Linked DNA regions of Elephas maximus indicus. Each later gene encodes a partner of the first gene's protein in a complex. Links are inferred from orthologs where the notes say so. Each region holds a gene or a part of one and is shown on either strand. Other genes may lie near its edges.

The links.
Region 2: POLR3G (region 1) and POLR3K share a complex: the UniProt entries of both Homo sapiens proteins name them as parts of the RNA polymerase III complex. The link is inferred for Elephas maximus indicus from reciprocal best matches to the Homo sapiens genes POLR3G and POLR3K.
Region 3: POLR3G (region 1) and POLR3D share a complex: the UniProt entries of both Homo sapiens proteins name them as parts of the RNA polymerase III complex. The link is inferred for Elephas maximus indicus from reciprocal best matches to the Homo sapiens genes POLR3G and POLR3D.

Annotation. Positions count from the first base shown.
Region 1 is NC_064820.1:97,122,124-97,129,398, forward strand, and holds the start of POLR3G (DNA-directed RNA polymerase III subunit RPC7), read left to right. Parts: upstream 1-4,178; 5' UTR 4,179-4,332; intron 4,333-4,343; exon of another isoform or gene 4,344-5,007; 5' UTR 5,008-5,096; intron 5,097-7,275. Other genes in the region: acyl-coenzyme A thioesterase MBLAC2, read right to left, coding at 3,221-3,674. UniProt on the Homo sapiens protein: DNA-dependent RNA polymerase catalyzes the transcription of DNA into RNA using the four ribonucleoside triphosphates as substrates.
Region 2 is NC_064830.1:57,373,822-57,381,434, reverse strand, and holds the start of POLR3K (DNA-directed RNA polymerase III subunit RPC10), read left to right. Parts: upstream 1-4,563; 5' UTR 4,564-4,658; coding exon 4,659-4,769; intron 4,770-6,850; coding exon 6,851-6,938; intron 6,939-7,613. Other genes in the region: RHBDF1 (inactive rhomboid protein 1), read left to right, coding at 88-132, 259-334, 399-499, 601-754, 917-1,246, 3,168-3,308; SNRNP25 (U11/U12 small nuclear ribonucleoprotein 25 kDa protein), read right to left, coding at 2,373-2,430, 2,847-2,921, 3,409-3,514, 3,658-3,748, 4,172-4,213. UniProt on the Homo sapiens protein: Core component of RNA polymerase III (Pol III) which synthesizes small non-coding RNAs using the four ribonucleoside triphosphates as substrates. Can mediate Pol I proofreading of the nascent RNA transcript.
Region 3 is NC_064840.1:52,465,610-52,473,635, reverse strand, and holds the start of POLR3D (DNA-directed RNA polymerase III subunit RPC4), read left to right. Parts: upstream 1-5,003; 5' UTR 5,004-5,212; exon of another isoform or gene 5,213-5,251; intron 5,252-5,391; 5' UTR 5,392-5,396; coding exon 5,397-5,561; intron 5,562-6,826; coding exon 6,827-6,870; intron 6,871-7,517; coding exon 7,518-7,669; intron 7,670-7,806; coding exon 7,807-7,931; intron 7,932-8,026. UniProt on the Homo sapiens protein: DNA-dependent RNA polymerase catalyzes the transcription of DNA into RNA using the four ribonucleoside triphosphates as substrates.

The DNA.
Region 1 (7,275 bases):
TAGGAAGATACTAGTTCACTACTGTCATGGATTTAATTACGTCCACCCAAAAACGTGTGTATCAACTTGGTTAGGCCATGATTCCCAGTATCATGTAGCTGTCCTCCATTTTGCAACTGTAATTTTATGTTAAGAGGATTAGGGTGGGATTGTAACACCACTCTTACTCAGGTCACTTCCCTGATCCAATATAAAGGGAGTTTCCCTGGGGTGTGGGCTGTACCACCTTTTATGTCTAAGAGATAAAAGGAAAGAGAGCAAGCAGAGAGTTGGGGACCTCATACCATCAAGAAAGTAGCACCAGGAGCAAAGCACATCATTTGGGACCCGGGGTACCTGCGCCTGAGAAGTTCCTCGACCATGGGAAAATTGAGGACAAGGACCTTCTTTCAGAGCTGACAGGGAAAGGATGCCTTCCCCTGGAGCTAACGCCTTGAATTTAGACTTTTAGCCTACTTTACTGTGAGGAAATAAATTTCTCTTTGTTAAAGCCATCCACTTGTGGTATTTCTGTTATGGCAGCACTAGTTGACTAAGACAACTACTAACAAGGTGAGTTGTTTTTCTGACAAAAATAACGACTTTAGTGATATGGCTATTTTCTCCCTCGTACTCCTTGTAGCTACCTCGTTTACGAGACAACTTTTGGATCAGTGATACAGAATACAGATTTATCATTCCCCACGACAAACAGTGCACTAAATGAAAAGTAATTAAGGAAAAAAAAAAATGAATTCCATCTCCTTGTATTCTAACCAAAGCAATGAAGACCTTATCTTAAGAGCTCTTTGAGTACGAGTATGTAACTGTGTATGAACTTTTAATATAAATGTTTTATATCTCCTTCTAGGCATGTGGAGTCTGTTAATAACAAGTTAGCAGACCACATCATTTAGAAGATACAGGAAAGTAATATCCTAAGAAGAGAGGAAATCAGGTACTGCTTGAGAGGGTGAGGAAACCCTGGTGGCATAATGGTTAAGGGCTACGGCTGCTAACCAAAAGGTCAGCAGTTCGAATCCACCAGGCACTCCTTGGAAACTCTATGGGACAATTCTACTCTGTCCTGTAGGGTCACTATGAGTCAGAATCAACTCAATGGCAATGGGGGAGGAGTGTGTCAGAGAGTGAGGCTTCTGACTCCCAAAGAAAAACAACTTTTGATAACACAGTATTATCGTCTTGAAAGCGTTCGGTAAATATTAAGCTTTCTTTCACACTTTAAAAAGGCTTAAAGTGTCACACAAGTAGCTTGCAGTCTCTTTACACCTCCAAAACACTGATTATACCACGTACTGGGATTTTAGGTTCTAATGGGAACTAGGTTCTAGTTCCAACTCTTTCCCAAACTGGCTATGTGATCTCAGGCACAATAGTCAGGCCTGTTTTAAACTCTCTCTTCCTCTATAGGGGCCCTGGTGGCACAGTGGTTAAGAGCTCAGCTGCTAACTAAAAGGTCAACAGTTTGAATCTGCTAGCCGCTGCTTGGAAACCACATGGGGCAGCTCTATTCTGTCCTAGAGGGTTGCTATGACTCAGAACCATCTGGATGGCAACAGATTTTCTTCATCTATAAAACAATAATCCCTATCATTTTTTTATCCTTGATTTCCCATTGCTGGCATAGGATCAAAAGTAATCTTCAGAACAATTCAAATATATTTTAATACTAATGTAAATATTTTTTGTTGTGAGTGCCAGAACTGAGTCTGCATACCCATCAACTGTGCCGAAATCTTACCTCTGAAAGTATTAATTATATCGAGAAATACAAGAACCAAAAGTAAATTTAATGTAAATGTATTTCTCCTGTGCCTCATAATGTCAGGTAACATAAGATTCCCCCATCTAAATCAGTTCTTCGATGAAAAAACTTTTTAGTGGGGGAATGAGATGTTAATTTTCCTTTCTATTTTTTTAGCATCTGAGATGATCAAAACCCTGTCCATAAGATAAACTGGTTTTTGTGTTATTTCATTTTTTGTGATATTGTTTGGTCATAAAATGAGCTTTAGTACCTTACTGTACTTCAGCAGCTGGATTTTTTCTACCTCACACACCAAAACACCAAACCTGCTACTGTCAAGTTTATTTCGACTCATTAGTAACGATGGTGTCAAAGTGAAAAGAAAAGGTTTCGCATCCTACTCAGAATTATAATATTTCTGTGGTAGGATTTATGTATGTTCTGCACGCTTTCATCTATTGTACCTTGGTTCAAATCCTAGCTTTTGTCACTATTTTGTTTTGTGGATCTTAGGCAAGTCATTTTATTGGATGCCAGTGTTTTTCACTTCGAATATGTTAAGGATAAAATGAGATTAAAAAAAAAGTATTTAAAAATAAAAAAGGAAATTAATATGCCAGATATTGCTCCTGTGGCCAATTACCTCAAGTATTTAATTCCTGAGGGTGGGAACAGGTTGGGGCCTTACTGTGTTTTATTCCATGAGTTTTTCTCTGAATCCTATTCCGTCCTTCACAGAGCCAAAGAGAACTAGGACTATCTATGCATTAGGCTACATACTCCACCACCACCAGAAGCAATCTCCTTATTAATCCTTCTCGAATTTTGCTTTCGACCACAACAGATATCTATCTTAACACAAGACTCAAAGCATATTCTACCCTTATGTTTACAATCAAGCTTTTTCTCTAGTGAGGCAACAGCAAGATTAGAAATCTGGAAGGTAGGGTTGCATGATCAGATTGGAACCTCTGCACTCTGACAGCTTTCTAAGCCTACAGGTGGAAATTGCTCGTACTAGGTGGTGACCGAACAGATAAAGTCAGCGTTTCTCAAAAGCATAGAGCATGACACGCACTTTGTGAGGTGTCATTCGTTGGAAGTCTTCTAGCTACAAAAACACCCAGAAATGTCAGAAAGGTGCCTGGAAAAGGAATGGGAAAGCCTCAGTCACAAGTCCCCGTAGTCTTACCACTATTCATGACACAAGAAACTGACTAGGGGGTGGGATCGGTTTTCACCGCCCTTCTAGGAACCGCTTCAAGGGGCCAAAGCTGGTCTCAGGTAGGGAAGACTGTGATTGCCGTGGCTCTGGAAAGGTGGGCATTTACTCGGGGAAAGCTAAAACAGAAATGGCGTTTCTGTGGTGTGCTAAAACGAGCCCCCATTACAGCCATGCAGGTCTGCAACATGCATCCCTCGGACATCCCCTCTCTCAATTAGACAGCGCGCGCCCATGGGGGGACTCATTACCATCCTGCAGGATGAGGGTGGGCTGCACCGCCTGCACTCGGAACTGCCTGGCCCTCCAGCCAGGGCTGGGCGCTCGCACCACTTCGCTGTCGGACAGCCATGTCACCGTTTCAAAGTTGTCCCCGCGAGCCAGAGCCTCGGCCTCAGCGTGGTGCACAGCTACCCGGTCAAACTGGTAGAGGCCGCCGGAGTGGTCGAAGTGCACGTGTGTGGCCACCGCTAGCAGAGGCCGGCGTTCTGCTTCGTCCTTGGCCCCGCGGTCCTGCAGGAGGCCGGAGGAATACAGGTATTCAGGAAGACTGCGCAGCCCCAAGCCGGTGTCGATCACCACGTCCTGCTCCGAGCCGCGCACTAGCCAGATGTTGGCCCGGTTGCCCGACTCGTAGAAGCGTTCCTGAATCCAGAAGATACCGTCGCCCAGGGACTTGTGGGCATACCACTCGAGCGCCGACATCCTGGGCAGGGGTGCGGCCGGGCGAGGTAGGTGTGGGCGTGTGTACCTCCTGCACTGTGGCCAGACCCGCGACTCTGCGGCGGTTGTGGCGCTGTCTGCCCGCAGCCTGGGAGCAGGCGCAGAGCGAGGGGCGGAGGATGCAGGGAGGTGCAGGGGGAGAGGTAGGAGGAGGTGGGGCCCCTCCCGCCAGGTCAGCAGAGCGCGGGGGCAGCACTAGCCGCACTCGGGCGCAGGAGCAGTAGTAGCCTGTGCAACCGCAGCACGGGAGCCACTGCACAAGAGATACTTTCCCCACCCCGGGGGGTCTGACTGCAGAGACTGAGCTGTGGGAGGCTGCACCAGGCCTGTCCACCCCCAACGCGTCTCAATGCTCACTCTCATGCGGCACGGAGTCAGGCCAACCGGTTAGACGGCGACTACGGCGCCTGCCAAGGGCTAAAAAACTCTTGGCTCAGGGGGTGGGGCTTAGCTAAGGGGTGGGCGGGGCTAGTTGGTTGGAATCCTAACGCGGTTCCGGGGCCGCGTGGAGGGCGGAGCGCGCTTTTGCTAAAGTGGTACCAGCGGCCCGAAGGTTCGGCGCCCTCTGCTCGCACCCTTTCTTTGCCGGCCGGCACTTCTGCTGCATAGTTTTGCCAAAGCCACGAGCCTTAGTGACCAGGTAACGAAGCAAGCAATCGGGGCCTTTGGGCGAGCGTGAGGACCATAGTGGGGAGTTAAAGGGGCACGTGGAGTGGATGGGGGTAGTCAGGAGTACAGATTCTTTAAAGAGCCCTTGCTTTGAGGCGCATTGGGAGATAGCTTTACCTGTCCTTTTCCTACTCCCCTAAAAATCACATGAAATCGTCGTTTCCATATCTTACCTGGCCTGCATTTCCTGGGACTGTTTGCAGTGAGTTAGAAGGGAATTTGTTTTTATTAGTGGGAGGAGATGTACCAGATCCTGGGATTTGGCATATAATTTTTTTAGGCACTAGTCATTGCCGCAGACTTACAGCTGAGGACAGTGTTTTAACTGTTGATACTTTACCCCGTATCGTGGGACTCATAATAAGGTTTTTCTTTTCTAAAAAACGAAATTCTATATTTTTTCTCTCCCTCCTTTTATTTTATTTTTTGGCTAGTTTATCGGCACTTGGAAGAGAGCAGAGAAAGTTAGTATAAAGGTTCGATTAAGGAAAGGTGGAGGCAGCTTGTGAGGAAGGAAAAAGCATCTATTAACAGGGTGTGGCCTGCGAGCCACACAAATCACCTCCACTGTTCATGCCTGATCCCTATCCTATACCTCCCCACCCCCTGCACCCCGTCCTCCTCCAGCTATTAAACGTTCGTTTAGGCTTCAAAATTCCCGTGAGAACTTGACTGACCTCCCCATTCGGCAGCAGAAAAAAGTATTAAGGGACCCATGAGACAGCATTATAAAAGGTAATTATGAAAACCTTTTTGGCAACTGTACTAATAAGCCTCATGGAAAGAGAGGTTTACTCTCTTGCTTACCTTGTGAAGGTGCTTGGTGGGATGTGGCCTTTATGAAGATTTTGTTAATCAAGTTAGAGATTTATCCAGTCGCTCCTTTGGGGGCATTCATTTTGTTGTTGTGAAGAGAGTAAAACATACACCCATTCACCCGTTTCTACATGTACAATTAAGTGACATTATTACATTCTTCAAGTTGTGCAACCATTCTAACCGTCCTTTTCTGAGTTGTTCCTCCTCCATTAACATAAACTAACTGCCCTCTAACGTTGTTGTTGCTTTGATCCGGTATAGATCTTAAAAGAGCATAATGCTCAAGGCAGACATTTTTGACTAAGGTAAACTATTGTTTGGTTTTACGAAGATTTCAGGGGATATTTTTGGTTTAAGTTTTAAAATTATCTCAGGACAGTAGTTTTAGGGGTTCATCCAGCCCCTTTGGGGGCATTCTTATGTGTAAGTCCCTGAGCTAGATTCTGTGTGAAGAACAGAATTGTGTAAGAAAGATATGATCTGGGTACTTAAGAATTTGAGGGATGATGATATCAATATACAAATATTTGCAATACAATGCAGTGTGTGATATTTACCACAAAAAAACCCAAACCCATTGCCATGGAGTCAATTCTGACTCATAGAGACCTTAGTACAGGGTAGAACTGCCCCACAGTGTTTCTAGGCTGTGATTTTTTTTTTTTTTTTAATTTTTAATGTGCTTTAAGTGGAAGTTTACAAACCAAGCCAGTCTCTCATACAAAAATTTATATACCACTGCCGTCCTAGTTGCTCTCCCTCTAATGAGACAGCACAGTCCTTCCCTCTAGTCTCTATTTTCGTGTCCATTTGGCCAGATTCTGACCCCCCGTGCCCTCTCAACTCTTTTCCAGACAGGAGCTGCCCACATAGTCTCATGAGTCTACTTGAGCCAAGAAGCTCACTCTTCACCAGTATCATTTTCTGTTCCACAGTCCAGTCCAATCCCTATCTGAAGAGTTGGCTTTGGGAATGGTTCCTGTCTTGGGCTAACAGAAGGTCTGGGGACCATGACCTCTGGGGTCCTTCTAGTCTCAGATGGACCATTAAGCCTGGTGTTTTTATGAGTATTTGAGGTCTGCATCCCACTGCTCTCCTGCTCCCTCAGGGATTGACTGTTGTGTTCCCTGTCAGGGCAGTCATCGGTTGTAGCCAGGCACCATCTAGTTCTTCTGGTCTGAGGCTGATGTAGTCTCTGGTTTATGTGGCCCTTTCTGTCTCTTGGGCTCATAATTACCTTGTGTCTTTGGCGTTCTTCATTCTCCTTTGATCCAGGTGGGTTGAGAACAATTGATGCATCTTAGATGGCCGCTTGCTAGCTTTTAAGACCCCAGACACCACTCTCCAAAGTGGGATACCGAGTGTTTTCTTAATAGATTTTATTATGCCAATTGACTTAGATGTCCCCTGAAACCATGGTCCCCAAACCCCTGCCCCTGCTACACTGGCCTTCGAAGCATTCAGTTTATTAGGAAACTTATTTGTTTTTGGTTTAGTCCAATTGTGCTGACCTCTCCTGTATTGTGTGTTGTCTTAACGTAGGCCGTAAGTTTTACGGAAGAGATTAACACGTTTCTCTCATGGAGATGCTGGTGGGTTTGAACTGCTGATCATTTGGTTAGCAGTGGAGCGCTTAACCACAGCGCCCCCAGGGCTCCTTATATGTACCACAAACCTAACCCTGTTGCCGTCAAGTCAATTCTGATTCATAGCAACCCTAAAGGACAGAGTAGAACTGCCACATAGGGTTTCCAAGGAGCTCCAGGTGAATTCGAACTGCTGACCATTTGGTTAGCAGCCGTAGCTCTTAACCACTACACCACCAGAGTTTCCTATATGTACTACAGAGGAAGTAAAATTGAGGTGCTATAAGAGTACAGATGGAAGGGATTGTTGAGGAATGACATTGTTGAGAAGCTGCCTTAAAAGACAGTTATGTGTTAGGATATTCTTGGCAGGGAAATACAGTGCTTACTATAGTTTGGATATTTTTCCTCTAGGAAGTGAAATGGAGTGATATCCTTATTAGACCATGTGCTCAGCACTAATTCACCCAATATTTTATTGTACTTTTGCCAGGCTCTGGGTAGTGATA
Region 2 (7,613 bases), on another chromosome or scaffold:
GCATGCATGAGGATGTGTGTACGTGGCTGCGTGCAGCTGGTCCCCAGGCTCAGCATTGGCGAGGGACTATGCCCTTCTCTCTCACAGAATTCCGAAACAATCCAAGACACCAAGGGGAATGTGCTTAAAATGGTCTGGACTTACCTGGGGTCATCAAAGGCAGGCGGGTGGGTGGGGGGCACATGCCTCTGACCCTGGGGCCTCAGTAGTCCCCCCTACCATGGGGGGCACCCTCCCACCCTCAGCCTGACTTTCCAGGTGTGAGATCACCTCCCGGGAGTACTGTGACTTCATGAGGGGCTACTTTCACGAGGAGGCCACACTTTGCTCTCAGGTAGGTCTTGGGGCAGAGGGTGATCCCCCCCGCCACCGTGGGTGCTAATGGCCACTCTGTGCAGGTGCACTGCATGGATGATGTGTGCGGGCTCCTGCCCTTCCTCAACCCTGAGGTGCCCGACCAGTTCTACCGCCTGTGGTTGTCCCTCTTCTTGCACGCAGGGCAAGTGACACACTGGGCATGGTGGGGTGTGCTGGGGAGTGGCCAGGCTGGGATGGCAGGCTCCCACCGTCCTGAGTATCCCCTCCCCTCCCCCACCTCAGGATCCTGCACTGCCTGGTGTCCGTCTGCTTCCAGATGACCATCCTGCGGGACTTGGAGAAGCTTGCCGGTTGGCACCGCATCTCCATCATCTACCTGCTGAGTGGCATCACTGGCAACCTGGCCAGTGCCATCTTCTTGCCTTACCGTGCAGAGGTGAGGTGTCCCTCGGGTGGGTACACTCATGCACATCTGTCCACGTCCAGCACTGGATCAGGTCCCTCTGTTTGGCCCTTGGTTCTGATTGGTTCCAGGCCAGGGAGGTGGGGCAAGAGGAAGTGAGACCTGGGTCAGCTCCGGTGCCTCGAACCCCCACAGGTGGGCCCGGCTGGGTCGCAGTTTGGCATTCTGGCCTGCCTCTTTGTGGAGCTGTTCCAGAGCTGGCAGATCCTGGCGAGTCCGTGGCGTGCTTTCTTCAAGCTGCTGGCTGTGGTACTCTTCCTCTTCACCTTTGGGCTGCTGCCTTGGATCGACAACTTTGCCCACATCTCTGGCTTTGTCAGTGGCCTCTTCCTCTCCTTTGCCTTCCTGCCATACATCAGCTTTGGCAAGTTTGACCTGTACCGCAAGCGCTGCCAGATCATCATCTTCCAGGCCGTGTTCCTGGGGTTGCTCGGCAGCCTGGTGGTCCTCTTCTACTTCTACCCTGTACGTTGTGAGTGGTGTGAGTTCCTCACCTGTATCCCCTTCACTGACAAGTTCTGTGAGAAGTACGAGCTAGATACGCAGCTGCACTGAGCTAGGCCCGAGGGGTGGGGGCTGCAGCCATGCTCCAGCAGGCCTGGAGCCCGGTGCCAAGCCTGCCTCTGCCCTTGCTGGCTGGCCAGATCATGTTTCTGAACACAGACCTCTGTGCCTTGTTCACTTCTGTTGAACCTCTCATGTCACCATGTTTGTTACACTAATGCCCATAATCACCTTCTAACTAGTCTCTTTTGACAACCACCTCACGCGGCCAGTAAACGAATGGGAGCGTTTTAGCTGCCGTTACCTTAATCCTAGCTGCCTCCTCCTTCTGGGATCCGATCGTGTGGCTGTGGAGGGAGGTCCTTCAGCCGGGTGGATGCACGGTGCCCTTCCTTTGGTGACTGGTAGGTGATGGTGGGGTGGGGTGCCCCAATGATGCCCTTGCCCTCAGCCCTGCTGGAGAGCCCCCATGCTTGGTCCAGCCAACAGCTGTAGTTTCAGTCCCATGCTCCCTCCTTTTCACCCAGTGAGCCCCAAGGGGCCTCTGGTCCAGCCCATATCTGTGTTACACACATTCTACCCTGGTCCCACAAACAGAAACAAAGACAGCTGCTCTGCTTGTCCCCCTTGCTGTACAGATCACGGCATGAGCAGTTTGCCATCTGGGGAACCATGCAGCCACAGGGCACAGGTGGTCACCCTGGACCTCAGGGCCCATGTGTTCCAACCCTGCTCCCTTTCTCCACCTCCCTATGGGGCAGCATTTGTACCTCCTGGCGGGGGTACTCTGGCTTTTTGACTTTCAAACTAAAAAGCAAACATTTATTTTGTATATGAGGCTGTCCTGTGGGATCCACATGTAGTCAGGTTTGGGCCTCAGGAGGGCTTCAGATCAAGTAAATGGAAGAGAAATGAGGACCTGACAGTCATGGAGCTCACATTGTTGGTTCCAGATGGGGGAGGAAGGAGGAGGCAGAGCACAACTGGGGTGAGGCTGCAACCTGCCTTTCTGTGAAGGAGACAGTGGCCAAGGGTAATGTCCTGAGGAGAAGAGTTTGTCCCCCACACCTCTGTCCTTGCTGGAGGCTCACTTTTGTCTCAGCTTTTTGATAAAGGAGACCTCATCCCGATTCCGGATGCCGTAACTGAAAGAGAAAGAAAGGTCGGATGTGTCTGATGGGCAGAAAGATACACCAGTGACTCCTACCTGGGGCCTGTGAAAAAGAAGGGAAAGAAAGGGGAGAAGAGGGGGTGGTGCCAGGGAGAAGGAGGCAGAGCGAGGAAGCGGCTCATGCTGTTCAGTGGGTGGCCCTTCCCCTCTACATGCTTACATTTCCCTCCATCTGACCTGTGCACATCCACAGGACCCTGATGTTCTCACAGTGGTGAGAGCCAGCCAGGACTGCTGTAGCCAACTCCTCTGCCTGCCCTTTTAGTGGGGATGGCTGAGATCCGGCACATAGGTGTTTTTGGGAAGCCCCTTCCTTTACGAGAGTACAGGGACTAGAGGCAGACAAGGACCAGACACCCCTCAGCAGCTCAAGATGTGGCCAGGACTTACTCTCGGAGCTTCTTCCTGTCTTCTGTGAGCTTTTCTCCCACAAAGGTCAGATAATAGGTCCTCCACACGTAGGACCTGCAAGAGGGAGACTCAGGAAACAAGGAGTTCTCTTCCTGCATGATGTGCACACCAGGCCTGAAGGAGCTACAAGGGGCACTGGTCCCAAAGGGCTGCATAGGGGTCGAACACCCTTGGCAGAAATGCACTGGTGCAGAGTAGGGGAGAGAGAGAGAGAGAGAGAGAGAGAGGGAGGGAGGGAGGGAGAGAGGGAGGGAGGGAGGGAGGGGTGGGCCCTGACCGAGCAGTGCTGTCTGTAACCAGGGAGACCATTTCATGTCACACTGGAAATGCCTAAAGGTGCCCCCAAGTGAAGAGTCAAGCAGCGGAGGCGGGACAACACAGATGAGCATGTTTAGAAAGGAGGCAGTGGCAGGAATCCATGGAAGACCTGTCTCTGCCTGAAAGAGCTCGAGACAGGGCACTCACCCCTCAGTCATGGCAGAGGACCAGAGAGCACAGGTCCAGCACGTGTGCATGCTGGCTTGGGAATTGCTCCACTCACCAGCTGATGTGCTGAATACCCCCTTCACGCTCCTGCCGCAGCTGCACATATCTTTGGATGGCCTTCTTCAGGTCCAGGACTGTGGCGTTCTGCACGACGACCACAGCTGCAGCCAGGGATACAAATGGGAGAAGACCTCAGGTCAGTGGGTACCACAGGCCAACCTCGGGGCAGGGCAGGTTCGTGGTGGCCTTGATGTCTCTGGCAGCCCTGAGAAAGCACAGTGGCAGGGAGGAGGGCATCACTTACGCATGACCTCTCCGTCCATCTTGCACACACAGACAGTCATGGCCTGGCCATACTCCAGTGCTATCTGGGAGTTGACCTCTTCCAAAGTAACCTGGAAAAGACAAAAGTGGGGTGCTCTTCTCATCATCCCAAATGACAATGAACAAAACAAGTTGACAGAGGCCAAAAAGGGGTGTCCATATTTTACGACAAGCAAGTAGAGGAAAGGATCCTTGCTTATATTAGGGCTCGCAGTTCTTCAGCACCCCGATCTCGAATTTCACCCATACTTTTCAAGTTTAAGGATCAAAGTGGACAGAGGCTCCAGTAAAAGAAGGGCACAGAAACAGGGTCGCTATGAGTCGGAACCGACTCGACGGCACCTAACAACAACAGAAATAGGCAGGAAAATGCGCCCTCCGAGGACCAGCCCTGTGCTTCCTCCAGCTCAGGGGCTGCAATATCCACACGACCTCGGGGTCCGCTCCCCGCCGCTCCTGCCCCGGCCTCGCTGGGAAAGACCCCGGCTGCGCACCTGGATCGGCAGATCGCAGAGCAGGGGGTCCTGCACCACCATGGCGAGACCCTCCTGGAACACGTCCACCACCTCCGAGTGCGGGAGCGCCTCGTCGTCGTCCTCGTCGACCTCCGACGCCTCGGGACGCGCCTCAGCCTCAGCCCCCTCCAGGGCTGCGTCCGCCGTGGGTCTCTCGCCCCGGCCAGTCGGCGAGAGGAAGACGAATTGCGTGCACAAAAGGACTGTGGACCGCAGAGCAAGCCTGGACAGCCATTGGTGCGCTTGGGGGCGGGGCGGGCCACCTTGACCAATGAGAAGTGCAAGACCGTCTGCTGCTGGGCACGCTGGGAGCGCGAGGCCAGCGTGCCTATTGGTGGCCTGAGGAGTGCCTTGCCTGGGCCAATGAGAGCTCGAGGCCGGGCGAGCGCCGGCGCCCAGCGGACGCGGAGGTTGCCGGGAATCAGGATGCTGCAGGGGCTGGCGGAATCGGGCTGATTCGCCGGCTATGCTGCTTTTCTGCCCGGGCTGCGGAAACGGGCTGATTGTGGAGGAGGGGCAGCGCTGCCACCGCTTCGCTTGCAATACCTGCCCTTACGTGCACAACATCACCCGCAAGGTGGGTCCCACCCTCACCCGCTATCCGCTCATGCCCATGTCGGCTCTGCCTTTGAGACGATCGGAGCCAGCCTCTAATCCCGTAGAACAGTCCCGGGGTTATCGCAGAAAAATGCTGGCTAGGCTCCCTGCGCAGTGTGCTCTTCACTGAGCCGAGTCAAGTCCCAGCAGTCCGTGCTCAGAAACCTCCAGTGGTTCCCGGCCGGCTGGGAGTAAAAGCAGTTCTTACAGGGCACCCCCAGGCTCTAGCCCTGACCCCGCCCGCCTGCTTCTCGGATTTCGCCTCCTCACGTCCTTCTCCCTCTCGCTCTTTTTCCCTAACAGCACCGGCCACTGCGGTATCTCCCGTCATGCTCCGGCGCTGCTACCTGCAGGGCCTTTGCATAGGTTCTTCAGCTGGGCGCACTTTTGCTCTGGATCCACGTGACTTGGTGGTCCCGTCTTTACTTAAATGATTACACTAAAGTTACAGCCCTCTCAATTTTATTCTCCTACCCGGTTTTATTTTTTCCATGGGACACGTACCTTCTAATATACTTTATAATTTACTCATGTGCTTTGTTTATTAATACTAAAACATAAGCTGCAGGAGTGCAGGGAGTTTTTCTCTGTTCTGTCCCTTTCTGTATCCTAGTCTGAATGCCTGGAATGGAACCTGCATTAGAATGGGTGTTTAGTAAAAGAAGGCTGCATACTGTACTATAGGAGCCCTGGTGGCACAGTGGTTAGGCGCTAGGCTGCTAACCCAAACGTTGGCGGTTTAAACCCACCAGCTGCCTCTCGGAGAGAAAGATGTCGCAGTCTATTTCCGAAAAGATTTACAGCCTTGGAAATCCTATGGGGCAGTTCTCTGTCCTAGAGGGTCTCTCTGAGTTGGAATTGATTCTGTGGCAATGGGTTTGGTTTTGGGTATACTGTATTATAAGTGGACAATATTTTAGTATTTTTCCATTGATAATACATCTTGAGGAGCCCTGGTCGTGCAGTGTTTAAGAGCTATGGCTGCTAACCAAAAGGTCGGCAGTTCAAATCCACCAGCTGCTCCCTGGGAAACTCTATGGGCAGTTCTACTGTGTTGTATAGGATTGCTGTGAGTGAGAATCAGTGCAACAGCATTGGGTTTAATACATCTGGAACACTATACTTTTCAGAAGTAGAGTATGTTTGTGCTGCCTCAGTTTTGTTATTTGCATACACTCTAGTGTATAACTGTGTTGTGGGAGTTTAGAGTCCCAAAAGACGGGAAGAGCGAACCCTTATGTAACCCTGAAAGTTTCAGGGATGTCTGATAAAAGAAGCCAACTGTAAGCTGCTTTGAAACCTCTCTCTACCTGGGTGGGGGGTGTCTGGGCTACCCAGCTAAGTGGTATTCTTTGGTTTCCATTTTATACGTTTCTCTCATATTGGATTATCATGTGCCCTGGAGAGGTGGGAGAGAAGGAGGGCCACACCTAACCCATTTTTCTTCCTCTGATCATCCCAGGGAAACCCTGGTGGCATAGTGGTTAAGTGCTACAGCTGCTAACCAAAAGGTCGGCAGTTTGAACCTGCCAGGCGCTCCTTCGAAACTCTATGGCACAGTTCCACTCTGTCCTATAGGGTCGCTATGAGTCGGAATTGACTCGACGGAAATGGGTTTTTTTTTTTTTTTGGTAATCCTCCCAGAGATCTGTGACTGCTCAAACTACCCCTCTCCTCTTGGTGGGCAACCTGTTCACCAGAAAACCAAACCCACTGCCGTTGAGTCGATTCCGACTCATAGTGACCCTATAGAACAGAGTAGAACTGCGCCATAGAGTTTCCAAGGAGCACCTGGCGGGTTCAAACCGCCGACCTCTTGGTTAGTAGCCAGCAGCCATAGCGCTTAACAACTATACAACCAGGGTTTCCAACCTGGTCACAGGTTCTCTATATTCACAGCCCTGGCCTGTGAGAGCAGGAACTTTGTTGTTATTTACTGTTCCTCCACTGCTTGTTGGAGGAAGCAAGTCTGGGAAGACACCTGAGGACTGTTCTGGTTTGGTGGCCCAGGGTTTGTACCAATCACTTCCTTGGAGAGTCTGAAGACTTTTTGTTTGTTAGGTGACAAATCGGAAGTATCCCAAGCTGAAAGAAGTAGATGATGTACTTGGGGGAGCAGCTGCCTGGGAGAATGTCGACTCCACTGCAGGTGAGGGGAGCTCTTTTCATTACAAAGCTGTAGAGAATTACAAGGCTGCCCGCTGCATCTCCATGTCAGAGTCTGTAACGGTGTACTTCTCATGGGGCTTCTAAAAGTAGAAGTCATACTGTGTGCTTTCTTCTTTAAAAATTTATTCGTAAGACACATAATATTGGTATAACCCTTGGAGTCATACAGACTGGGTTAGATTCTTGGTGACTTTTTGTCATGGGGCCTTGGTGAGCCCCTTGGCCTCTCTGGGGCTGATACATGCTCATGGGCTGTGCAAAGATTAAGTGAGTTTTACAGCGCTTGAGTTCAGGAAGCACTCAGCAGATGGTAGCTGGGGTCACAGTGGCAATAAAAATCAGAGTATAAGGAGAAAATATGGTCTTTTTGTTTGAATGTTTAAATGTTTAATCACTCCTTGCCGAGAGAGATAGCTGTGACCAGGGAAGGAAAGAGGAGAGCCCCAGATCTAACCTGTATGGAGAGGGGGAAGTGCTAACTCAAGGTTAGCACTCCTTTTTCTGTCCTATAGAGAGGAACATCCAAATTCGCTAGGTTAAAGATTAACATCTGCAGAATCTGCTGTGGAAAGATGAAATGTGTGCTCAGTGTTGGGAATGTTCTTTTTAGAGGGCTGTCAGTTTCTCAGAGTGACATCTTGAAGGTAAACATGTC
Region 3 (8,026 bases), on another chromosome or scaffold:
ACAAAGAGGGAAAGCCATCCCCTGGAGCTGACATCCTGAATCTGGACTCTGAGCCTACTTTACTGTGAAGAAATAAATTACTCTTTGTTAAAGCCGTCCACTTGTTGTATTTCTGTTATAGCAGCACTAGATGACTAAAACAACTTAGAATATTTAATAACTCAGAAAAATCTTTGTTAAGAGAGAAAAAGCAGGATATAGCACCATATGTAAAAATACCTTAATTTTAAAAACCTATATGCATAGAAAAACCAACATCAAATACATATAAAAATTGATGTGATAATAATAGATGATTTTCATTTCCTTCTGAGTGCTTTTTAAAATCTTCTAAATTTTCTACAACGAACAAATATCTTTTAACACAAAACAAAAAAATTAGGAGCTGCCAAAAGGCTGGTGGAGCCCTGGTGGTGCAGCCGTTAACAGCTCAGCTGCTAACCAAAAGGTCAGCAGTTTGAATCCCCCAGCCGCTCCTTGGAAACCCTATGGAGCAGTTCTACTCTGTCCTGCAGGGTCGCTATGAGTCAGAATTGACTCTACAACAACGGGTTTGTTTGTTTTTTGGTAAAAGGTTGGTGGACATTAAAGCCCAGAGAATCAAATCAAATAAATTTCATCTAGCGCTTCAGTCAGAAGCTAAGGAATTCTGTGTGTAGGGATTTTATTTGGTTATCATGAAACCGATATGGAGAAGACAAGTTGAAAAAAATCTGGTTAGGCACCAACAGAATACAATACTAATATAGTATTAAATTGGCAAAAACATGTCTAAAATTTTAAGAGCCAATACTGAAAAGGATATGGACAAACATTATAGGTACTCTTTTTTAAAAATATTTTTATTATGAAAATTTTCAGACATGTAAAAAGATAGAAACAGTACTATTAAAAACAACCATATATTTACTAACTCATACTTTATAATTACTGACTCTTTATCCATCTTCTCTCCCACTTTTCCACCCCCATGTTAAGTTAAAGTAAAATCCAATACATCAGTTTGGCAAGTAGCCTCTGGGGTCTCAAAAGCTTGTGAGCAGCCATCTACAATACACCTATTGGTCTCTATTCATTTGGAGCAAAAGAGAAAGAAGGAAACCCAAGAATCAGAGAAGGAACTGGTCTACAGGACTAATTTTCTCCATAAACCACAGTCTCCTCTACTTTGACACCGGAAGAGCTAGATGGCTCTTGGATACTGAAGTCCCGATTAGCAACACAGTAGATGAATCCTAATAGAAAGGGAGAAAAATGTGGAACAAAACTTCAAATTCCCCAGGAACGCATACTTATGAGACTGGAGGAATCCAAGGGACCATTGTCCTGAGATACTCTTTAAACTCTGAACAGAAAGTATATCCTGAAGTTACCTTTTAACTAAATAGCAGGTTAACTCAAAACAAAAAATGTCAATCGAGTACTGAGCTCTTTTAAAAAATTAACTATATGTGCCCAAATGGACAACCAAAGCAAGCAAAACTAAACCCATTGCCACAGAGTTGATTCTAACTCATAGTGACCCTACAGGACACAGTAGAACTGTCCTGTAGGCTTTCCAAGGTTATAAATCTTTACAGAAGCAGACTGCCACATCTTTCTCCTGCAGAGCAGCTTGTGGGTTTGAATTGCTGACCTTTAGGTTAGCAGTCAAGCGCTTAACCGCTGCACCACCATGGCTCCTGTCAATGGACAATGGTTAAAATATGGATGAGAAGGTTTAGGGGCTGTGAGAGAAGGTTCATGGGAATGGAACAACTAGAATGGAAATAATAATGTTGACACAATGCAAAAAATCTAACCAATGTCAATGAACAGTATGTGTGGAAATTGTTGAATGGGAACCTATTTTGCAGTGTGTATGTTCACCAAAAATACAATATTTTTTATATAAATCATAGCATTTCATAAAATGACAATGGCAACAGAATTTGAGAAGACTGAAAACAGATGGAAGAGTGGTAAAAGACTTAGGAGACCAAGAAAACTGACTCCTAAGGCAGTAATGAGGGCACCAAGAGCCAAACCAGTACTCACTGAGGCGCTCATAACCAGTTAGCTCCAGGTTCCTTTTGAAGTGGAGGTGAGGAAAAGGGGAACTAGCCGGAGGAGGATGGGTTGCAAGTCTGCTTAAAAAGCAGTCAGATCCCCAGATTCCCTTCCCAGCTCTATGAAGTTAGGCAAACGCTTCTCTCCTACCAAGGCAAAAACCTGCAAATGTATTCTCTGGAGAAAGCAAAGCAGGTCTCTAGGGGGCAGGCGAGTTATGTTATATGCACTCTTATATATTATACGGAAACGCTGGTGGTGTAGTGGTTAAGTGCTACACTGCTAACTAAAATGTCAGCAGTTAGAATCCACCAGGTGCTCCTTGGAAATCATATGGGGCAGCTCTACTCTGTTCTTTAGGGTCGCTAGGAGAAGAATCAACTCGATGGTTTTTTTAAAAAATATGTTATATAGATATTCTTGTATGCATATATTTAGTAGTGATGCATTATCAGCACAATCCTTTTTTAAAGCAATTTAGCAACATGGAACCATCAAATGTACCGCCACTGTGGAAAAGTTTGGCAGTTTGTTATAAAACTAAGCATACAAGTCATATGACTGAGGCATTAGTGGTTCTGTGGTTGAATTCTTGCTCAGCCAATGTGCCTCGTGTGCAGCCACCATGCTGTCAGTGGAAGCTTGTGTGTCACTACAATGCGGAACAGATTTCAGTGGGGCTAGAAAGGCATGGTCATCTACTTCTGAAAATCAGCCAATGAAAACCCTATGGATCTCAAGTTCTGACCCGCAACGGATCATGGGGATGGTGCAGGACTGGGTGGCATTTCATTTTGTTATGGATGGGGTCATCATGAGTTGGGGGCAACTCAACAGCAGCATTTATCCCAGAGAAATGAAAATCTATGCTTACTCAAAACCTATACGCAAATGTTCATAGTAACTTTACACATAACAGTGAACAACTGGAAACAACTCCGATATTCTTCAAAAGGTGACTGGTTAAGCTGTGGTACATACATACTATGGGTAGGGAACAATAAAAAAGAATGAATTATTGATACATGCAACAACTTGGAAAATCTCTAGGGAATTAGGGTGAGTGAAAAAAGCTATCCCAAGGAGTCACATACTGTACGAGTTCACTTATATAACATTCTTAAGATAACAAAATTATAGAAATGGAGAACAAATCAGTGTTTGTCAGGGGAGGGTGAGGATAGGGACAGAGGTAGGCATGGCTATTAAACGGGCATATCTTGACGGTATCAATGTTACTATTCTGGTTGTGAGATTGTACCATAATTTTGTAAGACATTACTATTGGGGGAATTCCAGTAAACCGTACTTGGGATCACTCTGCACTATTTTTTTTTTTAACAACGGTGAGTATATCTATAATTATCTCAAAATATAAAGTTCACTTTAAAAAACTGCACATGTTCTTTAGGTCAGTTACTCCAGCTCTGGACATCTGACCAAGGGAATAACCCAAAAGAAGAAAAAAACATTAAACGAACCAGATGTTCACCGCAGAGTTATTTACAACCGAGGGAAAAAAAAAAAAAAAAAAAAAAAATCTAAGTGTCCAAACAACAGGGAAATAAATCACGATGTACCTGTCTGTTTCCTAGTGCTGCTGTAACATATACCACAAGTAGGTGGATTTAAAGAACAGAAATTTGTTTTTGTCACAATGTAGGAGGCTAGGAGTCCAAATTCACTGCTCTTTGTCCAGTCTGGTGGGGGGGTGGTGGTGGTGGTAAATTCCTGTCTCAGTTTCAAGTCCTGCTTGCTCAGTGATCTAGAGGTATCCATTGCTTTGCTTCTGTGTCTCTTCTGCTTTTTTATAACTCAGAAGTGATTGGGTTTAGGACACACCCTACATTGATATGGTCTTATTAACATAACAAAGAAAACCTTAATTTCCAGACAGAATTACATCCACAGGTACAGCGATTAGGATTCCAACATATATTTCGGGGAGACACAATTCAATCCATAACAGCACACGACAGAGAATTACTCATTTGGATGCAGCAAAAGAAATGTTCTTTGAAAAAGCATACAAAATTGTGGTACAAGAGGTTCTGGTAAGGATACAGGACTGTATTACCAAAACTTTAACAGTAGCACTCTATGGTGGGGTCGCTGAGCCGGAATCGACTCCACAGCAGAGAATTTTTTTTTTTTTTTTTTGGTTATGGTGGAATTCTAACAAATACTTTCCCTTCCCCAAACTTTCCGTAATGTTGTTACATGGTTTTATATGCTGTACAGTGAGGAAAGTGTAACATTAAAGGACATTTTTTATGTCAAACTACAAGCGTCAAAGTCACAATAAAAAAGTTATTTCACTTCGCCTCTCCTGCAAAATTTTTCATTTTTCAGGTACCTTCCAGGCTTTAACCAAGAGCGCACACAAGAACCTGCACAGTCGTGAGCCCAGCAGGTTCGTCCGCTGCAGCTGCTCCAGCGCTGCCCCGACAGCCCCACACCAGGACCCCACCAGTTCAAAAAAGGGGCCTCCGAGCGACAGCAAACGCGAGCGAAGCCACTGCCTGGAGGTACAGTGACCACTCCAAGGTCACCATCTGGAGTCCACAGCGGCAACCGCCGCGGCCACGGCTCGGCCCTGCCCCAGGGCTTCCCGAATGTGAATCCGGGTCTCGCTCTCTGCCCCGCGCCCCATCCGAGCTGCGACCCCATTGGTTCCACAGGCTCCGCCGAGGCGAATCCTCACGTTGTGGCGTGGCGGCTGCCAAGGACCCCAGACCCTGAACTCGGCGTCCCCACGTCCGGTCCCGGGCCAGACCCCTGAGCACAACATCTTACTGTAACCCAGACCCGTCCTCTCATCCTTTTTCGCCCTCTCAACCCAGCTTTTCCCGACTCCGGGAAGAACCGGGAAGAGAAGGCGGAGGGGAGCGAGGTGCCGCTTGATAAATACTGTGCCCCGGCCCCGCCCACCGGACCTCACTTCCGCCCCGCGGCAAAATGGCGGCGCCCGGGCCCTGCCACGCAGACTTCCGCCTAGCGCGGAGACTGAGTGCCAGCCGCGGCTCGTGTCGGAGGTGAAGTCGTGACGCGCGTGGTGTAGAGCCGCAGCCCGGGTGCTCCGGGTGCTCTGGAGTGCGTCCCTGCCTCGTGCTTGGCTGGAGAGCTTGGGGAGAGGGCGAAGGGCAGCGGACCGGGGTCGCGAGTAAAACCTCAAACCGGGTGGTCCAGGGAGTCTTGCCACGTGAGAGGGGGAGGAGCTGAGACTCACGAGGAAGGACACACTGTCTGGGGGGCGGCAGGCCACGTGGTTGGGTTACGCCTAGAGTTCGCGTGTCCGCACCCTCGGGTGACTTTGTTGCCCTTTTTCTCATTCTCTCCCAGGCAGTATGTCGGAAGGAAATGCTGCGGGCGAGCCCAGTATCCCCGGAGGGCCCCGACCCCTTCTCTCTGGACCCCGGGGGCTTATCGGGAGGCGGCCAGCGCCCTCTGTCACCGCGGGCCGCCTTCCCTCTGTCCGCTCCAGGGACCTCACCCTCGGGGGAGTGAAGAAGGTAGCCTTGCTAAAGAGACCCAAGTACCTTGAATTCCAGGTTCCTGGGATTCAGCTGGAAACCCTGGTGTGGGGCAGTTCTAAACTGTCTTATAGAGTGTCCATGAGTCGGAATTCACCCGACGGCAGTGGGTTGGGATGCAGCTAATACTGATGTGGGGCCTACACTGTGCCAGGCGTGGTGTCTAGCCCCCCATGAATCTTGTGCTGAGACTTCTGCCTACGCCTCTCTAAATTCTGGGGATCTTGTTGAACTTTCACGTCTAGTGTTGGGTACGAGATGTTGGGATGGTTCCCAGAGGTGACTGAAGGACCAAAACAAAACCAATCGCATTGCTATGGAATCCATTCCGACTCATAGCCCACTCTGTAGGACAGAGTACTGCCCCATAGGGTCTCCAAGACTGTAAATCTTTATGGAAGCAGACTGCCACATCTTTCTCCCATGGAGCAGCTAGTAGGTTCAAACCACCCACCTTTCTACTTTTGGTTAGCAGCCGAGTACTTAACCACTGCACCACCAGGGCACCTCACAGAGAATCCTAATGAGTCCAAGACTCAAAAGCAATTTGAGCAGTGTTTCTTTACTTTGTGTTTGAAACACCTTTGAGAAACCCAAGAAAGCCAGGCAGGCATAAATGTGTGTCTGCAATTTTAGGGGGTTAGGAATTCTCCATGTATCTGGGTATGCAACTTCTGATCTGTCCTGTAATGAATCAAGGCATAGCATTAGAGGCTCTGAGTTCCCTCATGTTATATTTATGCCTATAGATGTAAAGGGTAGCCCTGAAGAGGAGGGGAAAAAAAAAGAAACATAAAGCAGCCAGTTTTTTAGAACTTTTTGTCTTGGGAAATTCGGGTGACAGTCTTAACTGTATCCTCTGAGTGTGAGCAGATCTCCTATTGAGCCTTGCTGTTAGAGCAGCTTTCCTCTGATGTTGACTGGTTTCTAGAGTAGTTCGAAGACAAGAGATGAGATGAGATACATTCTTTAGCTTTTAGAACTTTTCAGAGGGCAGAAGCTGAGGCTGCTAGTTAAAATGGTTTTTGCTGTCCCGATCTGCTTTGTATAACTCACTGCTACCGCGGTATGATGTTGCTCTTTGGGTCCATGTCTACCTCTAATCTCTGACAACAGTGTCAGATGTGTGGAAGAGAGCTAGGATGAGCTTGGTCCTTAGAAGATGCCCTTTGCGAGTTTTCATTTTCCTCTGTATTTTGGGGTTAGAACTTAACCAATCAGTGACTCCTGTATTTTACTTTCAGAAAACCTTTACCCCAAACATCATCAGTCGGAAGATCAAGGAAGAGTAAGTAGCTGGGCCTCTGAATACCTGCCCCTCATTTACATGCTCTGAATTTGGAGCTTTACTTTGTATGTTTGGGACACACAAAAGTAGGTGGCTCAGAAAATTAAACTTGTGTATTTAGTTATTTTCATTAGTGACTTTCAAGCTTAGCTTCCAGGTGATTCAGGTATGCAAGCTTTAAAAAAATATTGATGCCTGGTACCCAATCCCTAGAATTGTAATTTAGCTTTCTCAGTGAAATGGAATGTTTCTCTTACACGGCCAGAGTTGAGAGCTGCTAGTTTACACAGAGACGTAGTGTTTTCCCTTAACGTTCATATGTATTACAGCCACCTTGTTTTCAGTCAGCTCAAAAAAAAAAAAAAAAAAAAAAAAATACATATTTGGGGAGTTTCTGTAGTTCAGCATTTGAGTTATAGTTCTGACATATACTCTTAAAAAGGTAAAGTAAAGCAAATTGAAATTACCCTGCCCCATTAAGGAAGTGAAAAAGATGCTAGACCTAGGGATAACTTCTGCTTCTCCTCATGATGTAACTGCTGGCTTATAAACTCTGCTTAGTTGGAATAGAGTGGCGTGGGAGAGTAAGATAAGTTCTCTGAGGCAAGGTGAATGAGTGATTTCCCTTAGTCCATTCTCTTTTCCAGGCCTAAGGAAGAAGTAACTGTCAAGAAGGAGAAGCGTGAAAGGGATAGAGATCGACAGCGAGAAGGACATGGACGTGGCCGGGGTCGCCCAGAAGTTATCCAGTCCCACTCCATCTTTGAGCAGGGCCCAGCTGAAATGATGAAGAAAAAAGGTACAAGGCTGCTGGGGCTCTGAGAGGAATAGCAGTGGATTTTGGTTTAGACTACCTGAGAGAAATTTCCCTGCTCTCGGTTTACTTTTGGTGTCGGTCTCTTCCTTATCCGTAGTGACTTGGGTGATTTTCCATAGGGAACTGGGATAAGACAGTGGATATATCAGACATGGGGCCCTCTCATATCATCAACATCAAAAAAGAGAAGAGGGAGACGGATGAAGAAACAAAACAGATCCTGCGCATGCTGGAGAAGGATGATGTGGGTACCAAGGTCTGGGGAGGAGGGGCTATGGTGTGGCTGTGGGAAAGGGCTTTTGGGGAGCTAACATTAGGGGAGGAAGAGTTCTCTAGTCT